3 linked regions of the Drosophila melanogaster genome follow. The gene in region 2 interacts genetically with the main gene of each other region. Each region holds a gene or a part of one and is shown on either strand. Other genes may lie near its edges. The genes, in order: Ca-alpha1D, slo and Sod2.

Evidence for each region.
Region 1: of slo (region 2) and Ca-alpha1D, changing one suppresses a phenotype caused by changing the other (phenotypic suppression), as found in Drosophila melanogaster (one study listed by BioGRID).
Region 3: of slo (region 2) and Sod2, changing one suppresses a phenotype caused by changing the other (phenotypic suppression), as found in Drosophila melanogaster (one study listed by BioGRID).

The regions. Positions count from the first base shown.
Region 1 is NT_033779.5:16,165,996-16,170,240, reverse strand, and holds the start of Ca-alpha1D (Ca[2+]-channel protein alpha[[1]] subunit D), read right to left. Parts: upstream 1,896-4,245; 5' UTR 1,770-1,895; exon of another isoform or gene 1,684-1,769; intron 755-1,683; 5' UTR 345-754; coding exon 335-344; intron 1-334.
Region 2 is NT_033777.3:24,660,549-24,664,793, reverse strand, and holds the start of slo (slowpoke), read right to left. Parts: upstream 2,304-4,245; 5' UTR 2,231-2,303; intron 431-2,230; 5' UTR 1-430. Other genes in the region: Ppox (protoporphyrinogen oxidase), read left to right, coding at 3,069-4,245. UniProt on the Drosophila melanogaster protein: Potassium channel activated by both membrane depolarization or increase in cytosolic Ca(2+) that mediates export of K(+). Its activation dampens the excitatory events that elevate the cytosolic Ca(2+) concentration and/or depolarize the cell membrane.
Region 3 is NT_033778.4:16,772,074-16,776,256, forward strand, and holds Sod2 (superoxide dismutase 2 (Mn)), read right to left. Parts: upstream 1,843-4,183; 5' UTR 1,717-1,842; coding exon 1,682-1,716; intron 1,566-1,681; coding exon 947-1,565; 3' UTR 712-946; downstream 1-711. Other genes in the region: Arp53D (Actin-related protein 53D), read left to right, coding at 2,189-2,276, 2,330-3,477. UniProt on the Drosophila melanogaster protein: Destroys superoxide anion radicals which are normally produced within the cells and which are toxic to biological systems.

The sequences.
Region 1 (4,245 bases), on a different chromosome or scaffold from region 2:
GGGGTAATGGGTGGCACAACAGGGGTCGGAAATAGGTTATTAAAGTTAGTAATCAAACTGTGAGATATTGGGGAGATATTTTCGTAACTTGTGAGTGGCATAATAAAACTTTCATACGCTGTTATTAACTAATAAAATGCCCTTTTTAAAGTACTATTTTCTTTAAAATAAAGTTTCAATGTATCATGAGGCTAGTAGCTCCGCTTAAAGAGTCCACTGTTCTAATTAAAATCAAATTTGCAACATAAAGCTCTTATCAGTATTATAACGAAATGGATTATCCCAAATATATCACAATTTTATTTCAAGGTATTATTAGAAAAAGTCCTTGTACCTGTATTCATATTTGAAGTTTCATTCGGACGCACAATATTTATTGCCTTTCCTTTAAAATGCCTTATTCGTTGAGCGTTTTCCTTGCCAAAAGCCAAAAAGCGAAACGCGGTCAAAGCATCGCAGCAACAGGTGTGTTTGGTCTCAGTCGCCACACAGACATGCACATTTTAATCAGACTCACTTAAATAAGCGAAAAGCTTTTTGTTTTGTATTTAGAAAATGGTTTAATAGTTGTAGAAATTCGACGGTGGTGACTTAGATTTTTTTTTGTATTTTTTAGTTTGGTTTTTTTGGTTTTTAGTTTGGACGAGTTTAGAGCGGCGGATTGTAAAAATTTGGCATTTGTTTGTTAGTCTGCAGTGGAGAGTCGTTTTGAGGATTGAAGATCTGAAGCATAATGTGGTTTTACAACAGGACACTGAGGACAGTTTTCAATTACACCAAAACATTAATTATTTTATTACATCGAACACTTTTTTTCGCAGTTGGAAAACCCATCGCATTCAAAGTATCTAGAAATTTCTCTAACCATCCCCCAAATTAGTTTTTAGAACATATTTTCGGTAATCCCCGACCACAAAGCACTTTATTGAATTTTACTCAATTCCATTTGAGTGCACCGACAACGAATTTTCATCGCCATCATGATAACTTATCGGCATTTCCTGGCATTACCTATATATAACCCACTTTTCCGTGGCATGTGAGAGGGAGAGAGCATCAAAACAAAAACACGCGCAATGTTTACATTTTCCTTTGTTGTCGCAACGACTTTTTTGTGACCCAACTGTCAAATGGGCAATCAACTTTGACTGAGAGAAAGCGACTTTCTCCCGTTTTCTCTCCAACTGGCAAGCTCGTTTTGCAGCCGAGCTTTTGGCCTTTGCAGCAAGGAAAATACATGTTTTATTAAATTACCAAAAAAAAGTATTATTATTGCTTTTGCGCTTGTATTTTGTTATTAGTACGAGTATTTCCCAAAAACAAGCTAATCGCAATCACACATTAGTGCGGTTGAATGTCAGCTTGTCTGTGCATTTGGGTAAATATCAAACAACTCTGTAAACGGAAATGGGGTCAAGAGCGCGCATTTGGCAGTAAAAACTAATTTGCTCATGGTCTTTTGATGGCCCGCCTGGGAAATGATGTACGGATACTATTTTGCCTTGCTGGCATATTAATTACATTAAGTATTTCAGGTCTTCCTATGGTTTTTAGCTGCGTTCCGAGAGGTTAAAGCTGACCGATTGACCTACCCCCGCATATGTAATAGCCTTCACACGCACACACACCAGCTCACCACGGCACCAACACATGGGAAAGTGTGAAAAATTTCTAATGGCTCACTGCGAAGAAAGTGAAAGCAGCTTTCCACGGTGTCCCTATAACCTGTCGTTAGTTTCCCCTATTCGACAATCAACATTGCACATTACAATTTCGATATTATTGCCTTGGTTCGTTTGATTTTCCTGGCTTTTCAGTGTTGTATTTTATTGTATTTTTCACACGCGACCATCAGCAACGCGAACAAGTTTAAGGAATCAGCCACAAAAGCACACTGTGCAGGAAAAGTCAGCTTTTCGCAGAGGCAGCCGTGAAAATGTTGATGTTAGCCCAAGAAAAGCTTAGGATCTGGAGCTTGCTTATCTGCTGATGGAAGGGTTCTAAAATTGGGAAAAGCCTGTTTGGTGTAATTAGGTATTCCAAATGTTCCTAGGACGTTGGAATTCAAAAACTCATTTTCATGGAGAAACTATATTCAAATAAAATTTATAGATATTTACATAACCTGGTTTTATACAAAATAAGAAAATAATAAAATCAATCATTTATTTTCAAAAAAATTTCTTTGCAACCCATAAAATTGTGCACGAGGTTTGAATAACGATACCATTTTAACTATTTGAGATGTTTATTCGGAATATACAGGATATGAGTTTCATATAAGTATTTATTCAATCGCTTGAAAATGGGAAATCCCAGAGGTATTGTTCAACACTAAAGTTGTGTTTACAAACAAACCGAAATCGGAACGTAAATGCCGATAAATGAAAGCGGGATGCAAACATTTATGCTAGCCTATTTTTGTTATTTTTTTTTTCTCTCTTTGTTCTCTTTCTATAGATATTTTAAGCATAAGCAAATCAACTTTTATGAATAGATCGAGAGTTTTGTGGTATTGAGTATCTTTATCCCGCTTGCACTCACATTTGTTGTCAATCAGCTGTTGTTGGTGAACGCATGCGCAGATGAAAATGTTTGACAGTTGGCGAGAGACCAAAAAATTTCGAGAGAAAATATTGAAAATTACCATTTTCCCTGAATTATTTTTTCTTTCGCGGGTGAACTTCACTTACACAGCGGGCCGGCCTGAGTCACTGAGAATTTTTTTCTGACGCTTGGCAATATATCATAAGTTATAAAATAAAATCGGTTTTCCCATGGGTGTGTTCCTCGACGATATATACAATTTGGCTAATGATATATTTCCGGCTGAAAGAGACTTCTTGATTTGTTGACTTCTTAGGCCGTTTCATGAAAATAGATGTTCGCAACTTGTTTCTTTAATTTAACAAATGTCATCTAACCAATTTGTTGTGATTATCTGTGCTTTCTACGCGTTTTATAAGTAGATATATACATACACCCATAATATCTGATCACCATTAATTGATTTGTTTATCTCTTCCCGCTATTTTTATGAGTTTGTGTGTGATTATTTATTTTTCGTTTTATCGAAACAATTAAATGACCTGGATTTCCTAAGATGCTTTCATTTCAGTGACCATTATCGCTAAACTAATTCTGCCCAATTTAATTTCAAACATGAAACTTAATAATTATTTTATTGAAGGTCAGAAGATTTTAGTGTGCCTTCCCTAAACAGAGGCATCCATTATTTTTGACTATAAAATTGAATTATTCCGCCTCAACGAGAAATTAGTTTTCATCGTGTCCAATGAGAATTGTGCGGGAAAATATTTTTTAAAACAACAGAAATACGTCAGCGGGTGAAGGGGTTGGGGCGTGAGGGTATAGTGTACGATCGGCATTTCGTCGGTCAATTTCTTTGGGCCAGAACAGCAGACTATTTCGCCGGTCTAAAATTAGACCAAGCACACGTAGTTGGATCTGTCGATGCGGCAGTGTTGTTAGTGCTCCTGTTGGCTCTATTGTAGCCCCCAAAATTTAAAACAGAAAAAAAAAAAACAACAAAAGCGATCCGCAGGCAGCGAAATTAAATTTAGCCTAATTGTATTGCCTTTACTTAAATCAAATTGCATGGCTTATTGAAATATGCAATGCTGTAGCCTGAAAACACCACATGGAACACTTTATCGGCTATCTTTAGACTGCTAAATCGATGCTCATATATATATAAATATATACTTATGTATAGTATATACTTGATCTAGTTAATTGCTGGGGCTGCTTGTTGAACATTTCACTTACAAGCTGATCCCTCGGCGATTCCCTCGCGTGGCAACAATAAAAACACGCTGCGATTTTTATTTGTTGAGAAGCAGTCGTGCGTACGAAAATCCGAGCCAAAAATCCAACGGCAGCATACGTGGCGTTAATATTTTTAAACTTTTTGGGAGATATCTTCTCGACTGCTAGTACATATCATTCGTTGGGCTGCGAATCTGCCAACCTCCTTAAATAATAGTTACTACTATTACGACCCTGTTGAAGTGGAAACATTTTGAAGAACTTGTTCACTTATATCATGTGTATTTTTATATATAGCTGCTAAAAGTGTGCCAGCTCAACATATAATATAGATTTATCTCACACGTTATACATATATTTTTCATATACATATATATTTTTCCACTTTAAACTCGTTTGCACTCTTAACCAATTTGAGTAAACATTTTCCACTTCATCAAATCAATTTTATTGGTG
Region 2 (4,245 bases):
AGTACTGGCTAAACCACCGAGGCAGGGCTCCAGGGCTGCCAACATTCACACGCTCAAATCGCACATCAATGTGTTTGGACGATTTGTGGTCGCTGCGGCTCGCCAATGTTGCACGTGGAAATTCTTGGGCTGGCTGGCTGGATTTTCCTCACTGGCTGATGGATTGCGGCTTGCTGATTATTTCATAATTGCATTTCGGATCCGTGGATGAGTTTCATTGTGTTATCAGCTGCGTTAAGCTTATCAGTTTCATTGTGCGTTTTGGTTTGTTTGCTTCTTTCTTTGCCGTCTTGATCAATAGTTGTTCGTTCTTTTGAATTTGAATTGGAATTTGGTTAAATTAGAAACTGCGCTTAGTCACACTGCTCATGTTTCCTTTCACAACTTATTTAGCTTTGTTTGCCCACGAAATTTTTCCTTGTGTGTTAAGCTGCAAGAGATTTATTAAGTTGAGCGATAATTTAAATACTTTTTAATTTGCCAAGGCAGCGCGACGAACGCGGTAATTAATTATATTTTTTAGTTAGGCTGTCAGCGTTATTTGCGTTTTTAATTTTTTTACGACCGCAGACATTTGTCAATGATATTACGTATATATTTGTATTCGTATATATATTCTATTAAATTAATATTATTTTAGACATTGTATCACCATTTTCCGTAGCCGGAAAAGCAAGCGTGTCAAGTAAATAAATAAATAAAGATGCGAAGCAGACTTGAAAGCAAAATCAGCACTATTCTCGCCGTTTTTAAATTCTCAGTTCTCGGAGAATTCTCTGAGAATTTCTCTCAATTTCTCACAATTGCTGCTGGCGTATTGGCGGCTGCGCGATGCAGGGAATCCGAAAATTGTCGGGCAGAAAGCTTTTTCCTTGCCTGCGAAAGTCGCACATTTTGGTTAAGCATACGCAATGTGGTACCAAAAACTAGAATTTTTGGCAATATACAACATGCTTTACAATTATCACTTTCGTTTGCATGTTATTTGTATATGATACATTTAATGTCAAACTTGTCATTGGTAACTTTTTAAGTTATTCATTTCCTGCCCGATTAGCGAGGCTTTGCTGTCCTGCGGACGGACTCGTTCTTTCGCCTGCGGCATGTCGTTGAAACGGAAACACACTGCCCTAGTTTTTAGTTCCCCTTCGTGTCACACACACACACTCGCACACCCGCAGGACACACACTTTCATGCGCTTAACGAGCTGCCTAATGTGCCTGCAAACAATGGAAACGGGACAAATGCCGAGTCAAATGAAAGTTGCATTTTCATAATAAATAAGCAGGCGACACAATTTCCCACGGCACGCCAACGGGCGGAAAATACAGGGGGCTTGGAAAATGGGCATTCGTGAGCCAATGTAAACAGAGCTTAGTCCTTCGTCCTGGCCGCGCATTGAACTCGCCTGGATTTGGTGGCTTCATTTGTAGGTATCTGGGTATCTGCGTATCCTGGCGCACGCACACACACACCCACGCTCGGCCAGTGACTGACTGACACACATATACCAAGGTATCCTGCGACACACGAAGGACGACGAGTAGGAAGCAACAAAAATAACATTGACGATGACAGCAGCGGCAAAGGCAGGGGAACGATACAAGTGTATCTCCGGCCTGGAACATCGACTTTATCATCGGGTCGGGTCCCTTCGTCCTTTCGTTTTGGGGAACTTGTGGTGTGCTCGTTTTAAAAACGAACGAAAAACTGTGCCGTATGCGCATGTGTGTGTGTCCGTGTGTGTTGACTTCAACAAATGTATCTTTTAAATGAAAACCTGCAGCAGTGCCAAAAAAAAAAGCGAAAAACTGTATTTCTAAAGAGTTTTCCTTTAGTGTTGCTCGTTGGTCCACTTCTTAGCTCCTTTATGTATGCAACACTTTTTTCGCAATCACAATCGCCGTTTTATGGGCGAACACACACACACACACTCGGTCACTAATTAATTGAATTTCCTGCGTTGTAAGTGTGTGTGTGGCACATTTTCACGTTCACTGAGCCCGTTTTCAACGGATACCGAATTTTGCACAATTGCCGTTCCGCAAATGGCCACGATAATTGCCCGGATTTTAAGACGTTTTTTGCTCAATTTTCCCCGTAATTGGCAAACGCAGCTTGAAAATTTTTCACATTTCCAAGTGCTGCAGCTGTGTGTGTGTGTATGGGTCCCGTGAATATACATATACGCGATAGGCACTTTTCCACACAGTCCACTCACTCACACACCCAGAATAAAAGACGCGACGCGCTCAAACGCGAGGACCAACCTTTCTCGTCAGCAGCGTATACAATTCTGCGCGATGTCGACTCCGACGACATGGAAATCGGTGGCCCAATGTACTTCCGCACGGCCCAAGCTCGTCTTTGGGAGCTTTTCGGAGTCCTGCGGTTGGTGCGGGCTGGACGCTTCGTTCGATTCATCAAAACTGGCGCCAAAACCCATTCACTATGAATGACCCAGTGCCGCGGTGATGGTGATGATGATGGTAATGGTGCCGATGCAGGTGCAAGTGAACTTCCGCACGATGCACACGTGGCGTATGAGGAATGTCGGAAGAAATTCATTGCATACTTTTGGGACGGGTGCACAAATGCATGTTAAATGAGATAAAATAATGGCAAATAAAAGTACTATGCATTTGTATTCTTGTATCAATGCTTAAATTAAGTATTATCAATTGCACTATATTTTATTTAACTTTACATAATTTAACAATAAATATTCTAAAACCATTGTTTCGATTATAAGATATTATGTTAGCTGTAGTTACCAAAATAAGTATAACAATAAATGCTATTTATTTTATAAAATATTTATCCCTTCCTTTATTTGATTTTATTTTCTGCAGAATTGTCAATTCAAAACTCTTCAATCGCATATAACATCGATTGCAAGCTCAGCGATTTTGGATTTGAGCTTATCGATAGCTTCAACGATAGTTATGTCACCTGGGTTTATTTTGGTCTGAACGATCGAAGCCGGCATAGATTTTTTCGTCTGCAAACCAGAACTAGTCTGAATCCTCTAAGGGATTCGGGAGCAACGAGAAGCAGCAGAAGGACCATGACGACGGCCGTGCTGGGAGGCGGATTGAGTGGACTATCCGCCGGATACTACCTGTTGCGGCGATTCGGGAAGCCGCTGACCATCTACGAGGCCTCGCCCCGTGTGGGCGGATGGGTGCGGTCGGAGAATCGCAAGGATCGCAACTTCATCTTCGAGAGCGGACCGCGAACCATACGCCCAGTTGGTGAGCCAGGTGCCAATACGCTAGAATTGGTGGAGGATCTGAAGCTGGAGGTGACTCCCATTCGACGCAGTCATGTCGCAGCACGCAACCGAATGCTGTATGCCAAGGGACAGCTCTGCATGCTGCCCAACAGTCCCAAGGGTCTCTTCGGCGTCCTGCCTCCCTTCACGAAGCCGCTATACAAAGCGGTTCTTCGCGATCTGTTCACAGCAAGCAAGAAAGCGAAGCTGGAGGATGAGAGCATCTACAGTTTCGCTGAGCGGCGGTTTGGTAAGGAGATAGCCGACTACGCCATCAGTCCCATGATCTGCGGTATTTGCGCCGGTGACGCGCGAGAAATAAGTGTGCGCTTCCTGATGGAGGGGCTCTTTGAAAAGGAACAGAAGTACGGAGGAGTGCTCAAGGGCACACTCATTTCCCGCTTTGAGAAGAACAAGACCAAGGACACCAAGGATGGACTATTTGCCGAAAGACAGCCCAAGCTGTATGCGCAGGCGGTAAAGGAGAAGTGGGCCATGTACGGGCTGAAAGGCGGTCTGGAGAACCTACCCAAAACTATGCGAAAGTACTTAGGTGAGCGGGATGTGAACGTGCAGCTAAGCAACGAATGCCGGAACCTGACCTTCAGCAGCTCCGGGGTTCGAATGAACATCAAGGATGCCGAAGTTCCGGTGGAGCATGTGGTCAGCTCCCTGCCCGCCTACAAACTCGCGCCCCTGGTAAAGCAGCAGCATCCCTCGCTGAGCGCCCAACTTTTGAGCATTCCGTACGTGGATGTGCTGGTAGTGAACATGCAGTTCCCCGGCAAGCTACTCAAACAAGACGGCTTTGGATTGCTAGTGCCGCCAGTGGAAAAGTTACCTCTGCTCGGCGTCATCTTCGACAGCTGCTGCTTCGACATGGGCGAGAACACTGTGCTTACCGTGATGATGGGTGGCCATTGGTTCGACCAGTGGTTCGGTGATCGTCCAAGCCCCAAGCAGATTCTTG
Region 3 (4,183 bases), on a different chromosome or scaffold from region 2:
AGTTCCCGAAGGGAGATGCGTGCGCACTTCTGGGGCAACTGGCTGTGGAATATTGATTTTTCACACATTTTCCCGAATACCGTCAAGTGGAGTTTTTCAAAAAACTAATCGAAAACACCTTTAATTGAAACCCAATCTCATATTTTCTTATCAAGTTTTGTGTTTTCTTTGGTAACTTACTTACGTTTAGAAGTTTAGAAGTTAAATTCCTTGATGGGCGTCAACAGTTCTCCTCACACACTCACAATCACAGTTCTTTATTAAATTATTATTGCACTCAAGTGGTTTATTTTGTATGTTTTTCATTCGTCACCGCCCTCAGGAAATTAAATGATTTTCCTTTGTTTCGTACTGGTCTCTCGATTTCAAAACTCCGGGCGATTTTCGAGGATGGCCATTACGCGAACAGGCAACAAACGACTCTGCCAGCGGCTGGCCATTTGTTCCACCATTCGGATACGCGTGCTGGAAAATTGTTTGCAGCTGCGCGCACGCAAGTTCGGGAAAACTCGGTGGAAATGTCAATTTTCCTCCCCCGATTTCGCGGCAGGCTGACTTTTGTTTTGTTTTTGTTTGGCTCGCGCACAGCTGATTTGCTAGAGATGGCACCATGGGCGGCAGTGTTGTAAAACATTTACAGTATTTGCGATATTTTAATTTAATATAAAAATTAATTTTTTTGGAGCGTAATAAAATTGATAAAAATAAAAAATATGAATAGGTATATGTATATTTTTTAATTCCTCAATGAAGTAATAGTTTCAATACGCCTTTGTGAAGCGTTATCTTCGGAAATTATGTTTTAAATTGTTTTATTCCCATTCATAAAAATTATAAAAATTAGTTGCTAGCTGGTACCAATTTATTAGCCGCAACTTAGACTACAATTTAGGATCTCCGATCCGCAGATGCTTATAGATTAAACATACGCAATCGCCGGCTGTGCTTAGCAACCGAGCTTCTTGGCCTCCTGGAAGCGGCACGAGATGTCATCCCAGTTGGCGATGTCCCAGATGGCCTCCACGTAGGAGGGACGCACGTTCTTGTACTGCAGATAGTAGGCGTGCTCCCAGACATCGATGCCGAAGAGCGGGATCAGGCCGGTGGAGGCCTCCAGGGGATCCTGGTTGGGCAGGGCGGCCAGTTGCAGTTTGCCCGACTTCTTGTTGAAGCCCAGCCAGCCCCAGCCGGAGCCCTGGACCGCCACGGTCAGCGTGGTCAGCTCCTTTTTGAACTCCTCGAGGCTCTTCCACTGCGACTCGATGGCCTTCTTCAGATCATCGCTGGGCTGGGTCTTGTTGGGCGAGAGGTTCTGCCAGAAGATGGTGTGGTTGATGTGGCCACCGCCATTGAAACGCAGGGCAGGAGCCAGCTGAATCAGCTTGGTGGTGTCGCTCTTCGACTTGGCCTCCTCCAGCTGCTCCTCGGCGGCATTTAGATTGTTGACGTAGGTCTGGTGGTGCTTCTGGTGATGCAGCTCCATGATCTCCCGGCAGATGATAGGCTCCAGGGCGGCATAGTCGTAGGGCAGCTTCGGTAGGGTGTGCTTGCCACGCACCGCCAGGCTGCAAAGGGTTAAGTGTGTCTTGTTTTATAATGTCCTCAAGATCAGGGTCGCCATTTGTTGCTATTTATGTAATCAGCCGGCATCGATTTGGGCATACTTTTTTTCGCAACTTACCTTGCAGTTTGCGAAATTTTACGGGCCACGAACATATCTGCGTTTTATTCGACTGCTAATAAGGCTAAGTCCCGATATCAGATTTTATATCAAATAAAACAAGGCTTACGTTCTCGTTATTTCGCTTGTTCTATTTGAACAATTTACTGCTAGAGATGAGCAGATGAGAAAATATCGAAAGACCCCAATCAGTCAGTGATGTGAGATCAACTTATATATATTGAAGTTAAATAGTAAAACTAAAAGAAATTAAAAACTATTTTTAATTGAAACATTGCACTGAAACATATTCAAATCATATTGAGGATTTCTTAAATATTTCTTATGTTTAAATACTACTTTAGTGACTATTAGCATATTTTAGCTGCTTACGTATCGACTGCATCCATTCGATTGATACTTGAATTAATCGATTTTTGGCCTCTGTATGTCATGGCGCTAAATTGGAAATAAACCATGAAATTAACGTCATAAGTTTAAAAATCCGACTGGAACACAGCACACAACATGTCTACATTTCAAATACCTTCCCGAATCAAAATCGATATAACAAATAAACGGGCACAGAACATTCTTCACAAATATCTACATTTACGTAAGTTGCTTAAATAAGCTAAAGATTTTATGATTTGACCATGATTCGTTCAGCAACCTCTCCTGGAAACATGAGCAGCGAGGTAGATAGTAATTCACACCACGCCGCAGTGGTTATTGACAACGGCTCTGGAGTATGTAAGGCTGGATTCTCCCCAGAAGATACTCCCCGTGCTGTCTTCCCGTCGATTGTGGGCAGACCTCGTCACCTGAACGTCCTGCTGGATTCCGTGATCGGTGATAGTGTTATTGGCGAGGCGGCAGCCCGAAAAAGGGGAATACTAACCCTAAAGTATCCCATCGAGCACGGAATGGTCAAGAACTGGGATGAAATGGAGATGGTTTGGCAGCACACGTACGAGCTCTTGCGGGCGGATCCAATGGATTTGCCGGCTCTACTCACCGAAGCCCCACTGAATCCGAAGAAGAATAGAGAGAAGATGACAGAGATTATGTTCGAACACTTTCAGGTGCCAGCTTTTTATGTAGCAGTTCAGGCTGTGCTCTCACTTTACGCCACCGGGCGTACTGTGGGCATTGTGGTGGACTCGGGTGATGGTGTGACGCACACGGTACCGATCTACGAAGGATTTGCCCTGCCCCACGCCTGTGTACGAGTTGATCTGGCCGGCAGGGACCTCACCGATTATCTATGCAAGCTGCTTCTGGAGAGGGGCGTTACAATGGGCACCTCTGCTGAACGGGAAATCGTGCGTGAAATCAAGGAGAAACTCTGCTATGTGTCAATGAACTATGCCAAGGAAATGGATCTCCACGGAAAGGTGGAAACCTATGAGCTGCCAGATGGGCAGAAAATCGTTTTGGGCTGCGAGAGATTCCGCTGCCCGGAGGCTCTCTTCCAACCCAGTTTGCTGGGTCAGGAGGTGATGGGCATCCACGAGGCCACCCATCACTCGATAACCAACTGCGACATGGATCTGCGAAAGGATATGTATGCGAACATTGTTCTCTCTGGCGGTACGACCATGTTTCGTAACATCGAGCATAGATTCCTGCAAGACCTAACCGAAATGGCTCCACCATCCATCCGAATCAAGGTTAACGCTAGTCCAGACCGCAGATTCTCCGTTTGGACGGGTGGTTCCGTCTTGGCCTCACTCACGAGCTTCCAAAACATGTGGATCGACAGCTTGGAGTACGAAGAAGTTGGTTCCGCCATAGTCCATCGAAAGTGTTTTTAGTTAAGGAGGGTGTTCAAATATTCGTTATGAGCAATGATTATTATATATTTTCTATTTGCTAATGAATGTAATTTCTTAAACAAATCTAGTCGATATAAAATAAACAAAACTGGGGGTTACCTACACAAAAATTAGTTGCATTTGGGAAGCACAAGGCCCATGTAACGCCCTTCTAACAGCACAAATGCAACACTATCTAAACTAACCGCCAGATTAACTAGCCCCCAGGTAAACTAACTCCCATATAAAAAATTCTTAGGTAAATTAATCCCTAGATCAAATAACCCCAAGTTAAATTAACCCGCAGATACAACATCCCCCAGCTAAAAACAAAAATCCTTAAAAAAAAACTCCCAGTCAAACGAACCTGGTGGTAAATTAGCAACAAGATAAAATAGCAATCATTGAACCAAACAAATAACTTCTAAACTCTTATTCTGATTAATTTCGAATGTTTTAGGCTAAATGAAAATACAAATGTGTTCGATTGTAACATCTCGGTGGGAATCACAATAACGCAGTAACCTTAACTTCAATTCAGTTGCACGTGCACCGGGCGACAACAAAATCCAAGTTTCAACTCTCAAAGCATTCGCCTTCGTAATCATAATTGTCAAGCTCCATCATTTCGCAGTCGTATGCACTTGGGCATACGATGCTTTTGTTTAAGAGCTTGACAAGATTTCGATCACGGATCTAAGCGTGG